Oreochromis niloticus: one gene and its partner. The protein of the gene in region 1 purifies or fractionates together with the protein of each later gene. This does not show direct contact. Links are inferred from orthologs where the notes say so. Each region holds a gene or a part of one and is shown in the gene's direction. Other genes may lie near its edges.

Region 1 (11,068 bases):
CTGTTTTAAAGTATAACCAACTACAACTGCAAGCCAGCGACTCTAACTGGTGAAACATAATGTAGCACAGTGCAATTTGGAAGGTTAGAAACTTTGTTACTGTGGACAGATGAATTCCCTCCCTTAGATAAGGTATAAAGCAAACAAAATTGAGGGGAGAAGAATGCAGACTTTCACCCAAGAAATTTGGGTTCATGTCTTTATACTTGTCCCCTGGACTCTGTTGGTTTTCTAGGCTGATAATAAGACCATGATTTGGCCTTTACAACCGTATCAGAAGGGCAAAAATAGTGGCTGATTCTTTTAAAGAGAGTTAAAATGACAATGTTTAGCTCAGACATGTGTCACTATGTAATGTGGTGTTAAGAGTCAGTAGTTACCTTTCACATTTTAGTGAGATCAGACTGGTTTAATAATGCTCTGTTTCCTGAGCTAAATTACTGCTGGTTGTAGCTCCTGTAATTAGCATGAAGACATGGGAGTGGCACGCTGCTATGTTTCAGGAAGAATACGCTGTAGCATATTTCCCAAAACAACAAAAAAAACCCATTTAATTTCATCTTTAGTGTCATCAAATGCAGCTTACTGAGAAAAGTAACATTTTGCATGTGGCTATTCCCAATTTTTTGTCTTTTACAGCCACATCTTAGTCATTTTCAATACACTGAAAAAACATTTAGGCCCAAAAAGCTACTTTGTAAAGCTTTTATTGCCTAATTGTATGTCAGGCCTGATTCAATCAGGACCTGGAGTGAAGTTTGGGGCCCAAAATTAAATCTCTTATTTTATCTAATATATTATCCAATACTTTCCTTCGAATTTCTTGAAAACTGTGACTAATTAAATGCAAATAAATAACAGACTATTTTTCATTAAAAGTTAATTTATTTTTCCCCAGTTAATGCTAAACTATTGTTTTAAAACTACTTTTTAAAATATACATGTAAGTAAATAATGTAACTATAATGCTTTAAATAATGTGTTTTTTACGTGAATTTGGGGAGAATGTTTGTAGCAATTCTGTTGTTTTGAGCATAGAATTGTTACAATCTATGCACTTCATCAGTGTGTCTAGTAATAGTTACTAGTGTTTCGTTTCCATGCCATAAACAGGAGCAGCCTCAGTGCCGTGATAGCCGATCTACTATCTCAGGCAGTCGGGGAGGAGGAATTGCGTATGACTCTCTGGGCAGACCAGCCATATACAACAACTCCCGGAGGGGGAGAGAAAGGCCTCTGGACAGAGACGAGGAAAGCCGACTCAGAGTGGAGAGATATGTGAAAAACAGCTCTTTATCTTTGGTAAGTGTGTCTTAGTGTGCGTGTCAAGGCTTGAGTTCGCCAAACTGTGGAATGCCTCGGCTCCATATTACTAACCACTGCATAGTTAACCTGATGATGATGCAATCAAAATCTGTGTCTGCTCTGTGTCCTTGTAGCCAGAAACTCACTACCACCCTCCTCTCACGCAATTGCCTCAGAGGATGCAAACGCCCGACTTTCTGAGGTCGATGAACGGCAGCCCCATTGTCCCACCGGATGTGGGGTTGCGACTGGGAAGCATCACCAAGAATCACCAACACCCTCCCGTGAGCAGCACCTGCCCACCCATAAGGGACGACGATGATGAAGTGGATGAAGGGCTGGGCGGTCCTGCCAGTCAGGAGCAACCTTTTGATCAAGACAGCGAGACGAACAGCTCTCAGGTGTCTGAGGGTCACAGTCTGCCCTGCCAGCTTAGTAATGGCCTGTTAAAATACAAAAGGATCCCAAGCCCCCATCCGGTCAATCCCCACACCTCTATAATCCACAAGGCCCAAATAGTTTAACAGCTGGTGAGAAAATAACACGTGAAATTACAGAACTGCACCGCTTTTGTGGATGCGGTTGACTCCAAAGCATCTTTAGGGCATTTCTTATTGCTGCCTGCTGTTTGGGGGATCAGTGGCGTATTCCCCAGATGTTTGCAGAGCTACTGGAAACTAAAGACAATATCACACATTTTCCAGTGCAGCTACTTCAGCATCATCACCGACGATATTCCTTTCTGAGCTTTCACAATACAGCTGTTGCTCTAACCAGCTGCAGCTGACAGGTGAATCCAGCTGCCAGAGCTTATGAGGGGATATTGAAAGCACTTGCTGTGGGAAAAACCAGGAAATACAGGAGGAGTAAACAAGGCTGTGGGAAAGTCGGCAAATCTAAAAAGGAGATTGCAACAGCTCGGTGTTGAGGGTGGACTTCTGATTTGGTTGTGGTGAGTGTAAGAGTAACTGCCTGTGTCACATTCTCTTACACAACATTGGTTGGGACCTGATCCAGATTTTTTTGGCTTGTTCATCTCTGGCCACACCTTCAACCCGCATACCTTCATATTGTCTTACTGTCCTGCCGCCGTAGGCACTGAGACAGTTTGGATCAGATGAAACCTTAATGCCAAAACAAGATTAATGTCCCTTACATGTAGTGATCTGTAAATCTGTACAAATACACGAGTGAGCTCCCTTTTCTTAAAAAAAAACAAAGAACAAAAAAACCAAACAAAAAAACCCCACAAACACCTTTGAAATAGAGCTGTAATACTTAAATCTGAAGTAACAAAGACACAGCATGGTAACAACAACAAATAAAATGTGCTGTCAGGTCATACATCCCTCTGCCTCAGTGGCCTCCTCACTCAGATTCTTCCACATACACGTAGTACATGTGTGCTACAAGCATATTGATGTACACATATATAAGACTAGAGATGACAAAGCATATATGAAACATGCACACTTAATACATTAGAGTGCATTTATGTTTGATCTGTCGATGTTTACACACACAGTATGAATGTCAACATCAATGGAATCTGGAAAAGCTGCCAAACATTTGGAAAACATAGTTAGAATTGATCAGATTCTGTAAGTATGCCTGGATTCTCACGAAGCAGATCGTAGAAATGAATAAAAAAGGTCGCCACACATGGAATTTCTGTACAGTTTGGAACGTTTCCTCCAAAAGAGGACCGTGTCTTTCCAAAAGGAGTTTAACAGGGACATGTTACAGCCTTTGATTGCAGCATAAAAGCCAAACATGTATTTTTTATCTGTGTACTTTTTTTTTTTAATATCTGTTATGAGTATTGGGAAAAATGTGCCAAAGGGGAAACATGAAAAAAAATAACAGGTTTGCTATTCTGGCAAATATGAAGTATTATATTGTTTGTTACATACATTGTATTGTACAATTGTATTGTTTCCTTTTTGTTATGTTATCTGCTGTAAATACGACTTTTTTCCGATACACTTGTCTGATGTTGCTTTAGTTGTGTAAAAAGTGTGCTGGGACAGTTTGTGGCAAACTCAAAGTGATGTGTGACTATTATCCGGCAGCACCTAACAAATGAGAAGCCATAATGTCTGAATGCAGGTTGCATTTGCAGACAGCGCCCCCTGGTGTATACTGCTGGAAAGTGCAGGGGCCTGACTGAGGCAACAAACTGCAGAACTAACCAACTATGAAAAACTGCCTTCCATTGTGATCCAGATGATCTTCTTGGACATTTGCCTGGATTTCTAGTTATTTGCAGAGAGCTCTGGATGGTTATCAGCTAGTACTGATGGGTTGAAATAAATGTATGTGGTTTTTCTAAAGGTGCAGGTGTACAGCACTTTAGTTACCCCTGTACATTCATTTTTTAAACTATTTTTTATATTGTAGAAAAAACCGAATGCACTGAAACTATTACATTTTGTAGTCTTCTTCTTCTTTCAGCTGCTCCAGTCTGTCTCTACCAACCATCTGCATGTCCTCCTTTACTTCATCCATAATCCTCCTCTTTGGTCTTGCTCCCAAAGAACATCTTTGCAACCTCCACCTTCTGACTTCATCTCCAAACCATACATCACAGCAGGTCTCACTACCATCTTGTAGACCTTCACTTTTTTTTTTCTGCCTATGTGCACTGTCTGATGCTGTTGGTTTATCACAGGTATTTAAACCCATCTGCCCTCATAGCTGAAATCACAAATGTATAACGCCAATTCTTGCCTCTTCAGTCTCAGTGCTCTCACTCAGTAGTGGTTTCTTTGCAGTGTTTAAAGAATAAAAGCCTCGTCTGTAACAGCTGATGTTAGGACATGTCTTTCACTTGACTTGTGGTAAACACTAAAGTGGCATCCAATCCGAGGTACTGTTAATTGCAGAGTTAGGAGGCTAATTAACCTTTTCACTGCAGCTCCTGGAACTTTTGGTCTCCTTTTCCAGAGGCCTTCCTTGTAATAGGAGCTTCATCATCACATCAAATGGGTTTTGTCACTTGAAGAAACCTTCATTGCTCCTCAGTGACGGCTGCGGTGCTCAAATTGTGGATGTTGGGATACCGACAGCCTTCGCACTACTGTACACTACATTCATCCACAGGTTATGTCATACTGTGAGAATTTCTTTTCAGTTTTTGCTCTTGTGTTGTAGTCATCATAGCAAACTAAACCTTAAAGAAACGTATTGGCCACTGAATAATTTGCTATACTTTTTAGTTCCTATCCAATGGTTTCTATCACTGTGCATCATCCATATATCCCATTGCTTCATCAGAGTTAATGTAGTCATCTTGGTTGCAACAGGATGAATATGTTTAAATGAATCAGCACCCCTTGAGTCATGCTAACTGTCAGAGTCCTCAAACCACAGGCACAGCAGGAGGAGTGGCAGCCTTCCCCAAGGCCGGTTCTGCCCTACTTTGTTCCTGTTTAAAGGATGTTTTTCCTCCCCACTGTCACAGAGTGCTTACTCATATGCGCTTGTTTGATTGTCAGGGTTTTCTTAAGAGTACTGCAGGGCAAGGGTGTCAAACATAAATTGGTCTGGTAAAGACTCCAGTTCGGACCACTGGACAGCTATGATAAATATAATGGAGGGCATAAATTTTGGACTTTAATTTTTTGATGCATCTTAATGTTTTCCCCTCCCTTATGGAAATTCATGCATCAAACTAATAGATAAACAATTAGATGACAGGACCCTTTCTGTTATTTTTTTAACTACTGATTCTGATACTATCAAAATTTCTCTTTTTTACATCCATAATAACAAAACAAAAACGATAAATAAATACATTAAAAAAACAGGATGTTTCCTGTGAATTAAGAAAAACTTTGTTTTGTAATAACAGGACAGTCTGGGGAATGAGTGACCAGATTTTTTAGAAATGTAATTTTACACATTTATTTCTTAAAATGTATGCCCAAAGAGAGATGTAAGAGATTTCTTACATTTATATGATATTTATATTTAGATATGTTGTTGAAATTGCTCTGCTTTTTCTAATACTAAGCTCAAATGTGCAGTTGAACACCTTTATACTGACAGGAAAGGGCCTTCATCCGGTCCAGCCAACTCAAAATCACAGTGGGCTGAATGTACAAAACTAATTGTTTGTTGGATTTTTACCTTCATCACAGTTATTGAAGAATAGCCACTAACTTGATAAATAAAAGCCAGCCAATTAGAACTAACTTAAGCAGGGATTTGCTTAATTAGTGCATAACTTTTACCATGTTTGCAATTAAACAAATTACCCCAAACCAGTGACTGTGCAGTTCTGTGAGGGTCCATGGTTTTGTGGAAGGACTGCACACTTCACCTGCCTCATAATCCTGTTTGACCCTCAGAAAAGCAACCTGTTATAATGCTGAGGAGGGCTTTTTATATCCCAGCAACAACACGAACCCTTTGACAACACTACCAAATATTTATTTCTTTATCAATTAATCTTAGTTAAAGTTATGATATAATAAAGAAATAAATGTATATTAAATATGACATAATACTGTAATTATGTAAATAAATGCATTATTTTCTGGTAAAACATCAGCCAATGGAATGTACTGGAAGCCTCGTATGACGCTTTAGCTTTGTTAACAAAGTCATTATTCATGCGAAAAGGTTGACCACAAACTAAATAAATGAATGAATGAATGAATGAATAAATAAATAAATAAATAAGTAAATAAAGTAAGTTTACCGGTGGTCTGCGCTCGGAAGTGTGCGACGAGTGATGTCATGCGGAGGGAGGAAACCGATCTCGACAGCTAAGATGGCGGAGGAGCAGCAAGAGTCATCACAGGGAGAGATGGAGGGTGAGAGAAACAGTTACACCAACAAATATCAAGCAAAGTGCGCTGCCATTTCTCTTCTAAACGAAACTCTTATCCACACGAACATCTGTAAAGCGTTTCAGCCGTTGCCTCCTCCGTGCTGAATCTGGCTGATGTGCAGCGGTGAGGGGCACACAGAGGCCAGAGCTTCTGGGCTAACGTTAGCTAGCTGCCAATGCTACACAAAGAAAAAAAAAGCTTGTTTAGTTAATGTCAAGGCAGCAGTGAGTGACAGTCCCAGAGGTTTTGACTTTTGGAAATGCTTAAAATGTGTACTTATTATTAAAGAAAAGGCGTCGTGTTTTTAGTTTATAAAACTGCGTCGTGGCTAGAATTTGTTTTGTTTTCGCACAAGTCGCGCTAGCCAAGTTTAGCTGACTGACGTTAGCTTGTAGGTTAACTTGTTTTGATGTTAAATGCTGACCAAGGGCTAAATGCGCTCTTGTTTGCTTATTGGTGTCAGCAGGTGATGAAAACGGAAGGGGGGAGTGTGTCTTTGTCAATTGATTTATTCCACATTTTATTACATTTTGTTTACATGCAGCTGTCTGGCATTAAAACGAATTCAGTGGTTTCGCCACTGAGAAGGAAAACACCGCGTTAAAAGGGCTTTGTGAAAAAGGACATTTAAACCAAAACGACATGCAGCACCTGGCGCCGTTACTTTTATTAAGAAACTGGCATCTTAACCTACAATGTATTACGGGTGATCGAGTTTATTTATTTATTTTTACAGCCAAGATAATGCAGTCGCATTTAATTGTGATTGTTAAATACAAGCTAGGCACTTTTTAATTTCCTAGTAAAACCAAGTAATATCGAGTTAGTTCAGTTTTAATTCCTGGCTTGTTTGGGTATTACATTGTCACACAGCATTGCAGGTGCAATGCAGGTACACTGCCAGTGTCACTAGGTCACACCTGCGTAAACGCACCAAATGTAAAAGTGAATGCAGTCAGAGATGGGCCAAATCAGCTTGTTCTGATTCCCATCCAATACAGCTTGGGTGTCTGCTAATACTGACTAGAGATAAGATACTGGTTTTAAATTAATAATCTATAACGCTGTGAGCAAGAGACTAGAAAGTATTCTTATATGTGTCAGGAAATACGAGACTTAACTTAAAACATTTTCCTAACTTTGAAAACTGAAAAGGAACAAATAAATATAATTCTATACAAATGTTGATATTTATTAGTGAAATAAAAGAAAACAGCCCTAGGATACACGTGGCAAAGTAAACACAGAGCAACACAGAAATGAATCGAATGGGCTGGCTCGTTATCACTGATAGCTGGTCCAGTTTTCACAGTTGGTATCGGATCGATATCCAATCCAAATATTGAATTGGTGCAACAGTTGTTTCCCTAGTAGCAAATGCTTGTATCCTAACTGTCTGAAACACTAAAAGCTGAAACTGTGTTTTAGCTTTCAGTTCATAATGTTTTTCTATTTTTTCATTTTTTTCAAACCACACATCTGTGCAGTAGATCACATTAGGATCGCACTCTACTAAAAAAGTTAACCTAAGCAGTTTTCCTCAGACTAGCATCCTTTAACGAAACATTAGCACCTCCATACAGTTTGGGAAGATGGAGTTCTGCTTTGATACTGCAGATGTTTGTAGTGCAGTTTTGGTCTCAGTTTCAGAACTGTTACAGTGCTGTTGTCAGTTTATAGTACCATAAATGCTACTATATTTATGGTAATGTAAATCTAAAGTACACACTTTGCATCACTGGAACACTGCGATTTCAAATAGTGCTTCTAATCTGATGTGCAGTTAAAATCCCAATGCCACAGCTTCACTATCCTCTGTTTCAGCCAGTATGTCATTTAAGTACTACTCTACTCCTGAAGCCTCTTGAATTTGTCACCCTTGTCTTACAGGAGTGAACTGCCTAGCATATGATGAGGCCATAATTGCTCAACAGGACCGGATTCAGCAGGAGGTAAGGAAGCTCTTTTTATCTTAAAGGTCAAGTTTAGTTTGGGCAGCAAAAAGAAATAAAGATAGCTTGGCGTTATTCTGGGGATCCGGATGAGCAACTTCAGAAATCTCAGATCACATGTGGACAGGGCTATAAAAGCATAATTTGCACACTGAAAACAAATGAGATGCATGTCTTTGAGAATCTATCTTTGCAGTAATTACATTGACCTTTACCTGTAACAGGGTTTATGTGCACAGCTGTGAGCTTATAATAAAAGAAATGTTACTAATGCATAATCACAGATGTACTGTGTAATAAAAAGTCTAAAAACAAGTATGGAGATGGATTGCAGTGACTAATTTGCAGTTTTGTGTGTGTGGTTGTGCAGATAGCCACCAGTAACCCTTTAGTGTCAGACAGACAGGACCTGTCGGTGCTGCAGAGCGAGTACGCTGAGGATGACACGGTTTATCAGCTCAAGATCAAGGTCAGTCAGAGCGCAGCACCTCTCAGGTTACTGCAGCCACGTGTCAATCCAAAGTTTCTCTGTTTAAATTTGCAATAACAGTTTTGGATCTGATCTTAAAGATTTTTTAAAATTATTGTTATTACAGGACCTGCACAAAAAATACTCGTACATTCGCAAGACGCGACCAGATGGAAACTGTTTCTACAGAGCCTTTGGCTTTGCACATCTCGAGTCCCTGCTAGATGACAGCAAAGAACTTCAGAAGTGAGTGCCAGAGTGGTTACTGTGTGTGCTCTGCTGGCTGTTGGTGTCTATACTCAATGTGTGAATGTGTGTGAGCAGTACACTGTGTTCTGTTTTCAATATTTTAAAATTCAGATAAGCACATAGGTGGCTTTAATATTTACAATGTTTACCTTTAAATACACATTTTGTCTCTTCAGGTTCAAAGCAGTTGCAGCTAAAAGTAAACTGGATCTGGTTAACGAAGGTTTCACTGAGTTTACTATTGAAGATTTTCACAATACTGTGAGTATTCTGGCAAACCTAAATGACTATTTTGCTGAAGTTGCTGTAATAGCAAATGCATGTCATCTAGTTAGATACATTTGTTTTATTTTCTGCTTTTTTGCATTGTTACTGTAAAAAAGCTTAAAAAAAGAGGTGTAAAACCCTCAACCTGACTGACAGCATATCATTTGTTATGTTGGATAAGGTGCAGATGACGATCCTTACTGACTAGCCAATTTTAGATGGTCATCTGCCAGAGCACATGATGTGTTCAGTGAAATGGAACATGCAGCCAAATTTGTTTTGGCCAGTTAAATAGAAAGTTGGCAAGCTGAAGCCCGAGTACATGAGTCTAAATATGTAAATATTGTTTTTCCTGCTAGTTCATGGACTTGATTGAACTGTGTGAGAAACAGCCGAGGCTGCAGGAGGTGCTGAGCTCCTTCAACGACCAGAACGTATCAGACTATGTGGTGGTGTACCTGCGGTTGCTCACCTCAGGCTACTTGCAGCGAGAGCATACCTTCTTTCAGCATTTCATAGAGGGTGGGCGCACTGTCAAGGAGTTCTGCCAGCAGGTGAAGGTTTTCCCTACATAGATAACCATTTTCCTGTTTTTAAATTTAAATATAATGTACATAACTGTTGAATTGTTATGACCGACGTTGTGTAAAGAGTACAGTGTTTGCCATTCTGGTATAATGAAGATGTTTTATTGTCTGAAACTCAAACCTAATGTGCTTTTTTTTTTCTTTCTCTTTTTCCAAGGAGGTAGAGCCAATGTCTAAAGAAAGTGACCACATTCACATCATCGCCTTAGCTCAGGCCTTGGACGTATCCATTCTGGTGGAGTACATGGATAGAGGAGAGGGAGGAACAGTCAATCACCACGTCTTTCCCGAAGGCGGAGACCCCCGCATCTTCCTCCTCTATAGACCTGGCCATTACGACATCTTGTACAAATAGCACTCCTGGCCACGGCCCATCTCATGCATCTCCTGCTGTGTGCCGCAGCAGCGCATTCAGAAAATGCTACCAGCAGCCATGCTGATGAAACATACATCTGTGTATAAGATTACACTTGTGTATTTGGAAAAAAGAAAAAAAGAAAAAGAGAGAGAAAATCACATTACTTGCCTCCTTTGCCCTTCTCGCCCCAAACCCCCAAATTTACCTTCAGTCATAACAAAATGATGAAATAAAAAAAAAAAAAATCTTTGGAAATATAGAAGTGACTCCAACCATTTAGAGTTGTACAGGGTTTTTTTTTCTTTTGTGGTTGTAAATGTTATCTACTTGCTTTGTTTGTTTCTTTTCCTTTGTTACACTGCGTTTCATTGAGTTTTATTAAAGCAATTTACATCTTATTTCTTGTGTCAGTATGATTTTTGTTTTTCAGTTAAATATTGAAAGTTGACAATAACGTTCTTAGTCATCACTGCACACTGATGGAACCTGATATAACTATACTTTAATTGAGAGCATTATTGCACTATTCCTGCAGGTCAAATTAGAGGGAGAGGGGAAAGAAGACGATGGGACTATACAGTAATAAATTGTATATGAACTACGAGAGAAAACATACATGTTAAAATGTTGCTGGTTTCCTAAAAACAGTTTGATCTATAGTTTTCAATATACGGATGTCAGTGATTTACACGGACAGCTGCTTTTTGGCAGGATGGTTAAGTGGGTGTATATTGTTTACACTTGCACTCACACACATGCGCAGTTCCGTCACTGCAGCATAACCGAGTCAAAGATCGTCTATAGCGTAGCAAATACTTTGCTCTAGCATTTTATGGACGGAGAGTCCTCTTGGTACTAAGAAAAAATACCAAAGTGAGAACTTACGACAAAGGTTGGAGTGAAACTAAGGCAAGATGTCTCCGTTTTTAAAGTCATTTTTGTCAGGCAGAAGAGTTTTTGGCGCTTATTTACGGTATCATTCTTCTCTAACTGGTATGTACAAAACGTCATATTTTTGTAATAAAAAATATGTATATTTTTCA
Region 2 (10,801 bases), on another chromosome or scaffold:
ATTATAAACAAACATTAACAAAGACAGACAATACACTAACTAAGAATAGCACAATATATACAGGCATATATATACATAAAAGTCACTCATTAATAAATAGCTGAAAAGAACATGTGCAAAAAGGGTGTAGCTGTTGCAGTAAACAGTGTGTAAAGTGGAGGAGTTGTACAGAGAGATGGCCACAGGCAGGAATGATTTCCTGTGTCGTTCAGCGGTGCTTTTTGGTAATCTCAGTCTGTCACTGAACGTGTTCCTGTGACTGACCAGCATGTCATGGAGTGGGTGGGAGGTGTTATCCAATATTGTCTTTATCTTGGACAACATCCGCCTCTCCGACACCACCTTGAGGGGGTCCAGCTCCATCCCCACAACATTACTGGCCTTACGGATCAGTTTATCAAGTCTGTTGGCATCTGCGACCCTCAGCCTGCTCCCCCAGCATGCAACAGCATAGAGGATCACGCTGGCAACAACAGACTCATAGAAAATCCTGAGCATTTTCTGGCAGATGTTGAAGGACCTCAGTCGCCTCAAAAAATAGAGACAACTCTGGCCCTTTCTGTAAAGTGCTGTGGTGTTTTTAGCCCAGTCCAGTTTATTGTCAGTGTGTACTCCAAGGTATTTATAGTCCTCCACAATGTCAACACTGCCCCCCTGGATTGAAACAGGGGTCAAGTGTTTCCTGGTCTTCCTGAAGTCCAGTATCAATTCCTTGGTCTTTGCCACGTTGAGCTGCAGATGATTCTGCTAACACCACGTGACAAAGGAGTCGACCACAGCCCGGTACTCTGTCTCATCATCCCTGCTGATGCATCCAACCACCGCGGAGTCATCAGGAAACTTCTGAAGATGGCAGGTCTCTGTGCAGTGGCTGAAGTCTGTGGTGTAGAGGGTGAAGAGGAAGGGGGAGAGGACAGTCCCCTGTTGTGCCCCTGTGTTGCTGATTACCTGAGTGAAGTCTCCTCATTTGCATCTGAACCTGGTATTGAGTGAAGGTGATGGGTGGGGGAGGGGTGTCAGGAATCTCAGAGGAGGCAACAGCACCATGTGAAGAGAGAGGCTGGCACAGTGGTGTGGTTCTGGGTTCCAGGCTGACTACAGGTGAGGTTGTGGGGGTGTGAGCAGACACTGTGGTGTCGAATCTATTGAAAAACAGATTCAACTCGTTAGCTCTATCCTCACCTCCCTCAGCTCCCCTGCTGTTGGTTGTCCTGAATCCAGTGATAGTCTTCATGCCCCTCTACACCTCTCTCATGCTCTTCTGCTGGAGTTTCCACTCTGATCTTGTCCTTTAGTAACACCTGGACCTTCCTCACCTCCTCTTTATTGCCCCCTCTGAAAGCCCTCTTCTTGTCGTTGAGGAGGGCTTTGATGTCCTTAGTCACCCACGGCTTGTTATTTGGGTAACAATGAACAGTCTGAGCTGGAACAATGGAGTCGGTGCAGAAAGTTATGTAGTCTGTATATGTAGTACATGTAGTACACTCAGTAAGCCCATTGATGTGCTCGGTGTGAGGCTCACAGAGTGTTTCCCAGTCGGTCACCTCGAAACAGCCCTGTAGTTCCGCTAAGACCTCCTCTGACCACCTCCTAATGCTCCTCGTGGTCACAGGTTCCCTCCTCACAATTGGCACATAGCGTGGGGTTAGGTGAATCAGGTTATGATCTGACCTTCCAAGTGGGGGGAGGGAGGAGGAGCTGTATGCATCCTTTACATTAGCATACAGTAGGTCTAAAGTTTTCTCTCCCCTGGTGGGACAGTCCACATATTGTCTGAATGTTGGTAGTGTATTGTCCAGTGATACATGGTTGAAGTCACCCGAGATCACAATAAAGGCACTCGGGTGCTGAGTCTGTAACCGGGCTATGGCCAAGTGGATAGTGTCACATGCAGCTGTGGGGTTAGCAGAGGGAGGAACATAAACAGCCACCAAGATGACATGAGAGAATTCCCTGGGTAAATAATACGGCCTGAGTCCTACAGCACACAGTTCAATGTCCGGGCAACAAATCCTTTCTTTGATTGTTATGTTGGCAGGGTTACACCACCAGTTGTTAACTAAAACAGCAAGCCCACCTCCTTTCCGCTTACCGCTAGCGATGCTGTCCCTGTCCGCCCGAACAGTGTGGAAGCCTTCCACGGAAGCATTCTCGCCGGGAATGTCCTGGTGCATCCATGATTCCGTGAAACACATCAGGCTACACTCTTTTCCCTCTTTTCTATTTCCTCTGACTCCATACCAGCGCTGAGAGCTCGTCGATTTTATTCGATAAGGATCGCACATTTCCCATTACGATAGACGGCAGACACGGTTTATACCTCCTCCTTGCTTCGAGCCTCCGCTGTCTCACCGTCTCCTTCTTTCTTCTCCTCTGTCCTTGACCTCTGCATCCCCGATGTGTTTTTCTCCAAATTTCAGCTGGTACTTCTGCGGGTCTGGCCAGCGAGCCGGCCGGCATCAGGGTGATCAGCTGATCTCTGGAGTAAACAGTCCGTACGTGTAGGAGATGTGCTGCGGTCCCGTTCCTTGATAATAGTTCCACGGCCACCAGAAGAACAAAAACTCTCTCAATCCACATGATTGAGTGAAATATGATAAACGGATGAAAATACAAGTCAGAAAAAAAAAGAATACGTAAGAAAACAGAGCTAAACTAAGAGAAAAAGCAGGAGCGACTGTAACAGGCTGCACGCTGGTTGGCGCATGCGCACTTTTCTTTCTGGCATCAGTTTGAGAACGACTGAACTAACAGAACAAATCCTCTGAACTGTAAAAAATATACCCAACAAAAGCTTTGTTTCTTTCTGTTTTACATGAAAGCTGAAGCTGGAAAAGGGTTTGCCCATTTTTAAATTCAAATATGCACTGGCAGTAATGCAGAAGTAGATGTTATATTCATCATTTAAATCTCACTTAACTACAGGTCAATGTACTGATACTAAAATAATTACGTAAAAAAGTACAAAGTATGCTTAGCGTATTAGTTACCAGTGCAAATTATGATTGTGTTAATGAATAATGCATTTCAAACAGCAGACATTCAGTTGAAAAGGGTGGAGATGCAGCTGTGTTATGTCTTAAATTAGATCTCTCATTAATGACTAAGTATATGTTTTGGAATGTTCAATCAATAAATTGTTATAATTACAGTTACAGTTATAGTTCTAATTATAATTAGATTACAACTTGGTTTATGACAATAAATCGGTGAAATGACAGATTTAAGGAGCAGCCAGTGTGTCCATCTGCATCCCCGAGTCCTATACAGGAAGTGTGGTTTCGGCTCTCTGATAAGAACTTCCTTACCTCTGATCCTAACAGTCTTACCCAGGAAGCAATTCAGGGCTAGGTGAGGGGACTCCCCCACTACTCGTCCAGGTGTCTCCCCTGCTTACTCTGATCAGATAAGCAAACACCCGAATCGTCTTGCAGGTCAAATCTATTAGACCCACGTGTTAATGGTAGCTCTTCCAATGATTGTGGCACTTCTAATGTCTGGGCTTAACTCTAGTGGCCTGGAAAATAGGCCCCAAGGGAAGGTCATAATTACAGCGCTAGAGTAACCTATAAGAGCTATTTGCACTCACAGGTTAGAGAAAGGATTAGCACAACCAGACCTAAGGATGTATTTACGCTGCATTCCAAGTTGATGATAATCACCCAGTGGAAGTATGATGTATCCCGAATTAACCATCTCACACGGCTAAACTGGAAAGTCAAAAATATACAACCAGTTTGCAGATTCACAGGTTCTGGTATCACTTTCAGCTGTGGACGTCTTAGATCCTTATCTTGCAGAAGAACCCTTTCTGTCCCCTCTCTTATTGGACATCACTGTATTAATGTCTACTCACCTGATGTCCATCCTGTCTCTGACTATCAGACTGACATGATTTAACACAAAGTTTAAACTTTAAAATCACCTCATTTTCTTTGTCAATCTCAACAAAGAAAATCCATCACATTTCAACATTGACTCATACACATATAGAATTCACTTCATGTTTCATTCAGTTTATTTAACTGTACTTTGACACATTCTCACAGACATTGTAACAGAATCCCTTTTTTAACAGATGAATTCTTTCTTTTACTTTTTAAAACTGTGTTTTTGTCAATCACAGTTTATTTAATGCAATTTCCTTTTATTAAATCATACATTTTACAAGTCAGACATTCAGAGACTGGTGTGTGTCTTTCAGCCCCAACTTGCACCGCAGACACAGACCTCTGAGTGGCTCCTCTTATCAGAATCCTTTCAAAAGGTTTATTATCTTATTTATTAGATGTGGTAAAATTCCCAGTTATGAAACACCGTGTTATTTTCTGTTCAACGTTAAGCATAATTTAATAAAATTCACATATGAATTTCTTTCATGTAAAATCATGTATGACGATGGTCTGGTGACAGAGTTCTTATCTTCCCGATCATGTACACGCACAAAAATGCGAGCAGTCATTGTTACTACTTGAACACATTTCTCTCTTATGTATTGATCAAACTTATATTTTGATTTATCTTTGATTAAGAATAAAAATGCTTTATTATTAGAAAGGGGAAAAACTGTGTTTTACCGCTCTGATCATTTTTAATCACCTGTAGCTTTTACCCCTCTCACCTCTCAGCTGTGATGGCGGGGGCGGCCAGGGGAACCGCACTCTCTCCTGACCTCACAGCACCTGATAGGTGATAACTTGATGAAACCAGATATCAGAAAGAAGAACCATGCAGCCAATACAATTTTCAAGCTTGGCAGAGAAAACAACATTTTGGTTTTGACCATTTTCTTGGAAACAGAGAAGCAGGATTGTTTCACAAGGTAGCAAAAGGAGAAGAGAAAGATGCTGAAAGCCTTTTTATTCCTGTGCCTTTGTTTTCTTACCAGATAACTTGATTAGCAGTGAAAACAATGACAGGCATATTCAGTAGCTAACTTTGATTTTGCAAAAACCAAAGCAGTGTTTCACCAGCCCTTACAGGGTTTCTAACACTTCCCTATTTTCTGTTCCCCTGAGAACCATGGTCACCTCGAAGTAAAGCAGTTTATATAGCTCTTTGAAGTTGCTGTTGTCCCAGGAAAGCTGGTTTTACCTGCTCGCCTCGATTGAAATCATCGCAGGGCAGGTTACAGACCTGCGTTGTCATGTTTAAAAAAAAGAGGAGGAAGTTATATTACAAGAGGAAATTAGACAAAAGAGAAAATGGATAAGGAGTGGAGATCAGGAAACGGGTGAGGCTGTGTTGAAAAACAGTCATGATTACCCAACAGAGCAACACCTAACTGACGTGAGCCAGGATTTACACAAGAGGGGCTGCAGGAAGCCAAACTCAGGGTGAGACAGCAGTGCAGAGAAGAAAGAAAGGAGAGAAAAGTTTGGTGATGTCAAAGGGTAGACAGCCGGGCAGGAAAGTGAGACGTAAGTGCAAGAGATGAGAGAGAGGGAGGGCAGAGTGGAGGCTGGTGGGTGGGAGGAGAGAGAGAGAGAGCGGCCTGCCTGGCCTTTAGTCTTAACTCAGAGTTTTGTAACTTTCAGTCACAAAGACTGAGAGACCTAACCTCAGCCACACAGGGTGTCTGCAGTCACAGACAGTGCATTCATAAAGAGAAGAAGCGTGGTAGGCACTGTGTACAGAGATGACTGGAAGCTCTGCATCTGCTCACAGAGAAACTGCAGCAAATGGACACAAAGTTTCCTCAAACGGGACAGAACAGAAGGACAGGAAGGTAGAACTGGGGAAGAAGGTGACCCTGCTCCGAGGCATCTCCATCATCATCGGGACCATCATCGGAGCTGGGATCTTCATCTCGCCGAAGGGAATCCTGAAGCACTCCGGCAGTGTGGGAGTGTCCCTGCTGGTGTGGATTGCCTGTGGCGTGCTGTCCCTCTTTGGTGAGTTGGAATATCAGCAGAGAAGTTCTGCTCTTGTAATATACTGGTGGAGGTTCAGAAATCTGTTTTTGGCTGTAGAGATTTAACAATAGACATAAAAAGAAGTCAGAAAAGTAACAAACAGAAGTCCGTCATTTGTTTTCTGTATAAAGTAAGCTTAAAAAAGAAGAGATGTAACCATCACTGCCAAAAACACTGTCAGTACTGAAACCCTCGAGTATGCTTCTTCTGTGCTAAACCTGCTATTTTACAGTTCACTAATGTAAATATCAGAAGTGTAGTGATGATGTTAATATAAAGGCTCATCTCACAGCCACAGAAATCTGCTTCAAACCATAAGCTGTATTTACCAGAGTAACGTTTTATGGCAGCCATCAGGGCTGAACTCACTAACTTGGGTCTGATGTTCAAGTCTCAGTCAAACTTCAGTCTGCTTCATAGCATTGCTTTAAACATGGCTACACATACACAGTGACCTGATAACTCACTGCTGGAGACTGTCACACAGCATCAACACTTGTAAAACTTTTTCCTGCATGATTAGTGTGATGCTGCGACTCATTCTGAATATTCTCACACTTTGTGTCTCGCTCCAAGAAATGTGGACCTAACTATGTGTATTTGTAGCTTTGTGTTCAGCGCCACAGTGGATTTCAAATCAAACAGTCAGGATGTGATCGAAATACAGAGTTTCAGTTTAATTGAAGGGTTTAACAAAAACATTGCACTGACTGTTTAGAAGTTACAGACATATTTATGCACAGTTGCTAGAAATTTAAATGGACAAACTTATTTTAAACATGAACATAACTCATTTGTTGTCAATGATTCTCTCGAGTATTGAAACCCAAGGACCTTTACTGCAGCATTTTCACCTGTTGTCTGTGGGTCTGTGCTTTCACTTTTCTCTTCATTAACTGAACAGCTGCTCTGTTGGGTTGTGAGCAGATGACTTACAGTTAGCTTTGGCTCATTATCATCTGCTCTGTGTGACCATTTCTGCAGCATCAGTCTGAATGATGCAGGCAGTATGGCTCAGTTCATTGTGCTGTTTCTGTTAGCACTCACTGGTAGCATGGTTAAGCCATGCATGTCCATGCCAAAATGTGGCCTCCGCCATGTTACACAGAGGATGTGCTATGCCTACAGGCTGTTTAGTCAGGTCAGAATCTCCAGTCAATTGTTGAACCTTGTCTGACCAGTCAGAAGTGAATTCAGTCTTATTGGGAACAAAAAGACTGAAAAAAAAAAAAAACACTGGAGAAGAGCAGAGTTTGTTGCCAAGTCGTTTACTGAACATCCACAGCAGTGCAAGTTCAACAAAGGAGAGCTGAAGCTCCACTGCGGTCTTTGCCTAAAGCACAAGCAGGCCAGAGGTCAACAGAGATGGACATGGGTGAACACAGACAAAACCTCTACCCGGGGGCTCCCCTGGCTCCACCTTCTATTGTTGTGTAATCCTTCACTTATTGGTTTTAATTGTGTGCAGCTTTAATTCTGTGCACTAATGATTTCTCAATTCATTTTCAAATCTTTGAATAAAAATGACAGATGTGCTCATGGATTTGTTACCTTGTGCAATATGTGAATATACATAATTGCTTGGTTTCTTTGAGAAAGATAACACTTGAATTATGTAATTTTTCAGACTCTCAGTGAACTTAAAACCACCAGAACTTACGAGATCAAATTTGATTTAAACATTAACCACAGGACATATTAGCCAATCATCCTGACATGTAATAATTAACACCACAACTATTGCATGACCTCTTTTGAGCGAGCAGGAAGTAAAAACGTCCTTTTAACATGAAGAAAGCTCTGGCAGAACCGGGGGGGTGTACGTCTGGTTGGGGTTGAGGGGAGGAACACAGGACAAAGTCATGCTGTGGGGGAGAGTCAGAGATTAATCCAGTCCCAATAAAGTTTAAGACCACTTGAGAACTGGCTAAAAAATCCAAAGTTCCAAGTAGAGCTTCAACATCCTACAGGAAGAAATGGGAGTGAGGCAAAACATTTTTTTACAACAGGCTGTTGTACAGCTGATCAAAAGTTTAGGACCACACCTCCAAAAGCACCTGTAAACCCCTCAAAACAGAACTCAAAGTTCCAAACGTGACTCAGTAATGAGCAGCTCCACCGGTATTGTTGATCAATTCAAAAATTCGTTGCAGCATCCTTGATGCAAGTGCTTCCATGAAGTGAGTGGGAACTTTTCTCCAAGTGGTGAAGACCACCACACGAAGGGCATCTACTGTCTGAAGCTGTTGTCCATTTTTGTAAACTTCCCTTGCCATCCATCCCCAAAAGTTTTCAGTTTGATTTAGATCAGGAGAACAGGCAGGATGGTCCAGAATAGTGATGTTATTCTCCTGGAAGAAGTCCTTTGTCCGGCAGGCATTGTGTTCTGTAGCGTTGTCTTGTTGACAAACACAGTCGTTACCACACAGAAATGACTGAAAGATTTATTAGGCTCTGTTTTGAGTTTTGTTCAATAAAGAATGACTTCATATAGGAAAAAAATAAATATCACATATGCAGGACACCTTAAACTAGTTTTTTAAAATTAATTAAGCAAGGCAGAACAAAGTCAGGGCTGTATCAAGACACAGGGACTAAACCTCAATTCAACCAGACCCAGAACTGATCCAGAATTAAAACAGGACTACAACAGTTTAAAATCAGGACTACTTAGGACTTAACCAAGACAGAACCAGAATCAAAACTAGATGATAGTAGCACTAAAAATCATCATAGACCTGCACTACACTTATTTTTTAATTCTACCAAAGTACACTATTTAGATTCAGAAAAGTTTATATAATTATTTAGCCTTGTTGTGCAAACAAGCCTGCAAAACTTAATAAATATAGAATTTGAAAAATAACAAACCTAAAAGAAACACTAGATACATGAGTACCTATGATGGTAAATGGACTGATTCTTATATAGCGCTTTTCTACTCTCCCGGAGTACTCAAAGCACTGCATACAACATGCCTCATTCACCCATTCATGCAAGCACTTCTAAACACAAGTGCAAACTATAACTACATTCACACTCCGATGAATGCATCGGAGGGCAATTTGGGGTTAGTATCTTGCCCAAGGACACTTGACATGCAGACTGGGGAAGCTTAGGATCGAACCACCAACCTTCCGATCAGTAACTGATCTGCTCTACCACCTGAGCCACAGCCACCCTGTGATATGATACGGTGATACTTTTGGCAAACAACCATTTGACTAACATGCAATGTTCCCTCTAATTTTTCATATGTCTGAGCGAACACACAAACTCCCTGATCGATCCCCTGGACCACTATGAGCGACATCAGACGTGTGCACTGTGGTCACGCCAGCATCGAATCCATCCAAGTTACATGGTTTATTAAAATAATCAAATTACAGCATTTACATTTATGTTAGACTACTTTTAATTAACTGCTTTAGCCCACTTACAATGAAAATGTAAAAAAATCTAGTCATTGACCTGTGCAGTATGTTAACACTATTGGAAGTAAAAATAACTTGAACTTTTTAACTTTTTTTATATATATATATATATATAGAGTAGCTGCAATGTTTTTTGCAGCTACTATTTTTTTTTTTTAATGCAGCCAATGCGCTTTTAAACAAACATTTCAAATTATTTACAGAACAATCAGGTGTTCTGCATTAAATTTGATGCCACACAAATTATTTGTGCCACTCCAAAAAATAATTTCTGTCCCCTATGAAATAAAGGAGAACAACAGCCTGATACCTGCAGGCCTGACAACAGGAGATGTATCACTCCTGTAACACCTGTAACATTCAGCAGTCGCCTCATTGTTCTGACACACACAACAAAACTATTGACTACACTACACACTAACTACACAAGATTTGCGCTAAACGTCTCAAATCTCTCACATCTCAAAACACCGCCGTCACTCCTAAAACTTCCCCCCGTTTCTTAACAACTAGATGCCACGTTGTCATATCATGTTTTTGATTGGTCGACATGGTACTTTTTTCGACCAATAGGAAAGGGTGGGGGGTTTTTTGGTTTTGTTTTTGCTCACAGGTGGAGAGTGCTTTCGAGCGTTTTCCTTATAAAACGCCATTTTTACCGTTTCTTCCCGCAGTAAATATAAATAACGGTAGTATTCAGGAAGAAAACAAAACATTGCATATATTTTTATCATAACTCTGGTTTTACGTGGCCTTGGCCTATCAACACAATTTAAAAACTGGTCCACACTTTTTCCGTCAATTGTTCCGTCTGTACTGCTCACATCTCCAATGGTTGTACACGTTGTCATTAACGTGGCTTCACTCCACATCAGCCACGCCACTTTGCTAGCTAAAACACCGGTGTCGGCACATAAGGATGCTGTCATAGCCTGTCAACGACGTTGATTGGCTGCGTACATACGAATGTGAATCGCATCATTGGCTGGACTACAGGATAAGGTGGCATCGTTCTAATCCCATACGGGAGCAGCCAGTCACTTACTGACTAACACTGCAAAACAGAATTGTTAAAGTATTAATTTTAATTTCAATTCAGGTTAGATTTTTTTTTTGTGCGAAACGCAGACTTTCTGTGCGCAGAGACCGTGCCATCAGTGCGCAATTGCGCACGTGCACAGCTTAGAGGGAACATTGCTAACATGTGTCTCACCTGCTCTTGTTCATCTCTGTTCTGTCCTCATTCTCCTCTCTCTCCCTCTCTGTTCCTCTCTCTCCCTCTCTCCCTCTCTGTTCCTCTCTCTCCCTCTCTGTTCCTCTCTCTCCCTCTCTCCCTCTCTCTCCCTCTCTGCTCCTCTCTCTCCCTCTCTCTCCCTCTCTGTTCCTCTCTGCTCCTCTCTCTCCCTCTCTGTTCCTCTCTGTTCCTCTCTCTCCCTCTCTGCTCCTCTCTCT

What was found. Proteins that work in one complex are often made in the same cells at the same time.
Region 2: the proteins of ubiquitin thioesterase OTUB1 (region 1) and slc7a11 purify together in Homo sapiens (affinity purification with western blotting; 5 studies listed by BioGRID, with this or other methods). This does not show direct contact. The link is inferred for Oreochromis niloticus from reciprocal best matches to the Homo sapiens genes OTUB1 and SLC7A11.

Annotation. Positions count from the first base shown.
Region 1 is NC_031967.2:5,951,801-5,962,868, reverse strand, and holds ubiquitin thioesterase OTUB1, read left to right. Parts: upstream 1-5,896; 5' UTR 5,897-6,043; coding exon 6,044-6,125; intron 6,126-8,033; coding exon 8,034-8,095; intron 8,096-8,465; coding exon 8,466-8,564; intron 8,565-8,691; coding exon 8,692-8,810; intron 8,811-8,989; coding exon 8,990-9,074; intron 9,075-9,439; coding exon 9,440-9,634; intron 9,635-9,824; coding exon 9,825-10,022; 3' UTR 10,023-10,423; downstream 10,424-11,068. Other genes in the region: nectin4a (nectin-4), read left to right, coding at 1,114-1,302, 1,440-1,829; citrate synthase-lysine N-methyltransferase CSKMT, mitochondrial, read left to right, coding at 10,940-11,018. UniProt on the Homo sapiens protein: Hydrolase that can specifically remove 'Lys-48'-linked conjugated ubiquitin from proteins and plays an important regulatory role at the level of protein turnover by preventing degradation.
Region 2 is NC_031966.2:1,398,373-1,409,173, reverse strand, and holds the start of slc7a11 (cystine/glutamate transporter), read left to right. Parts: upstream 1-5,262; 5' UTR 5,263-5,638; coding exon 5,639-5,894; intron 5,895-10,801. UniProt on the Homo sapiens protein: Heterodimer with SLC3A2, that functions as an antiporter by mediating the exchange of extracellular anionic L-cystine and intracellular L-glutamate across the cellular plasma membrane.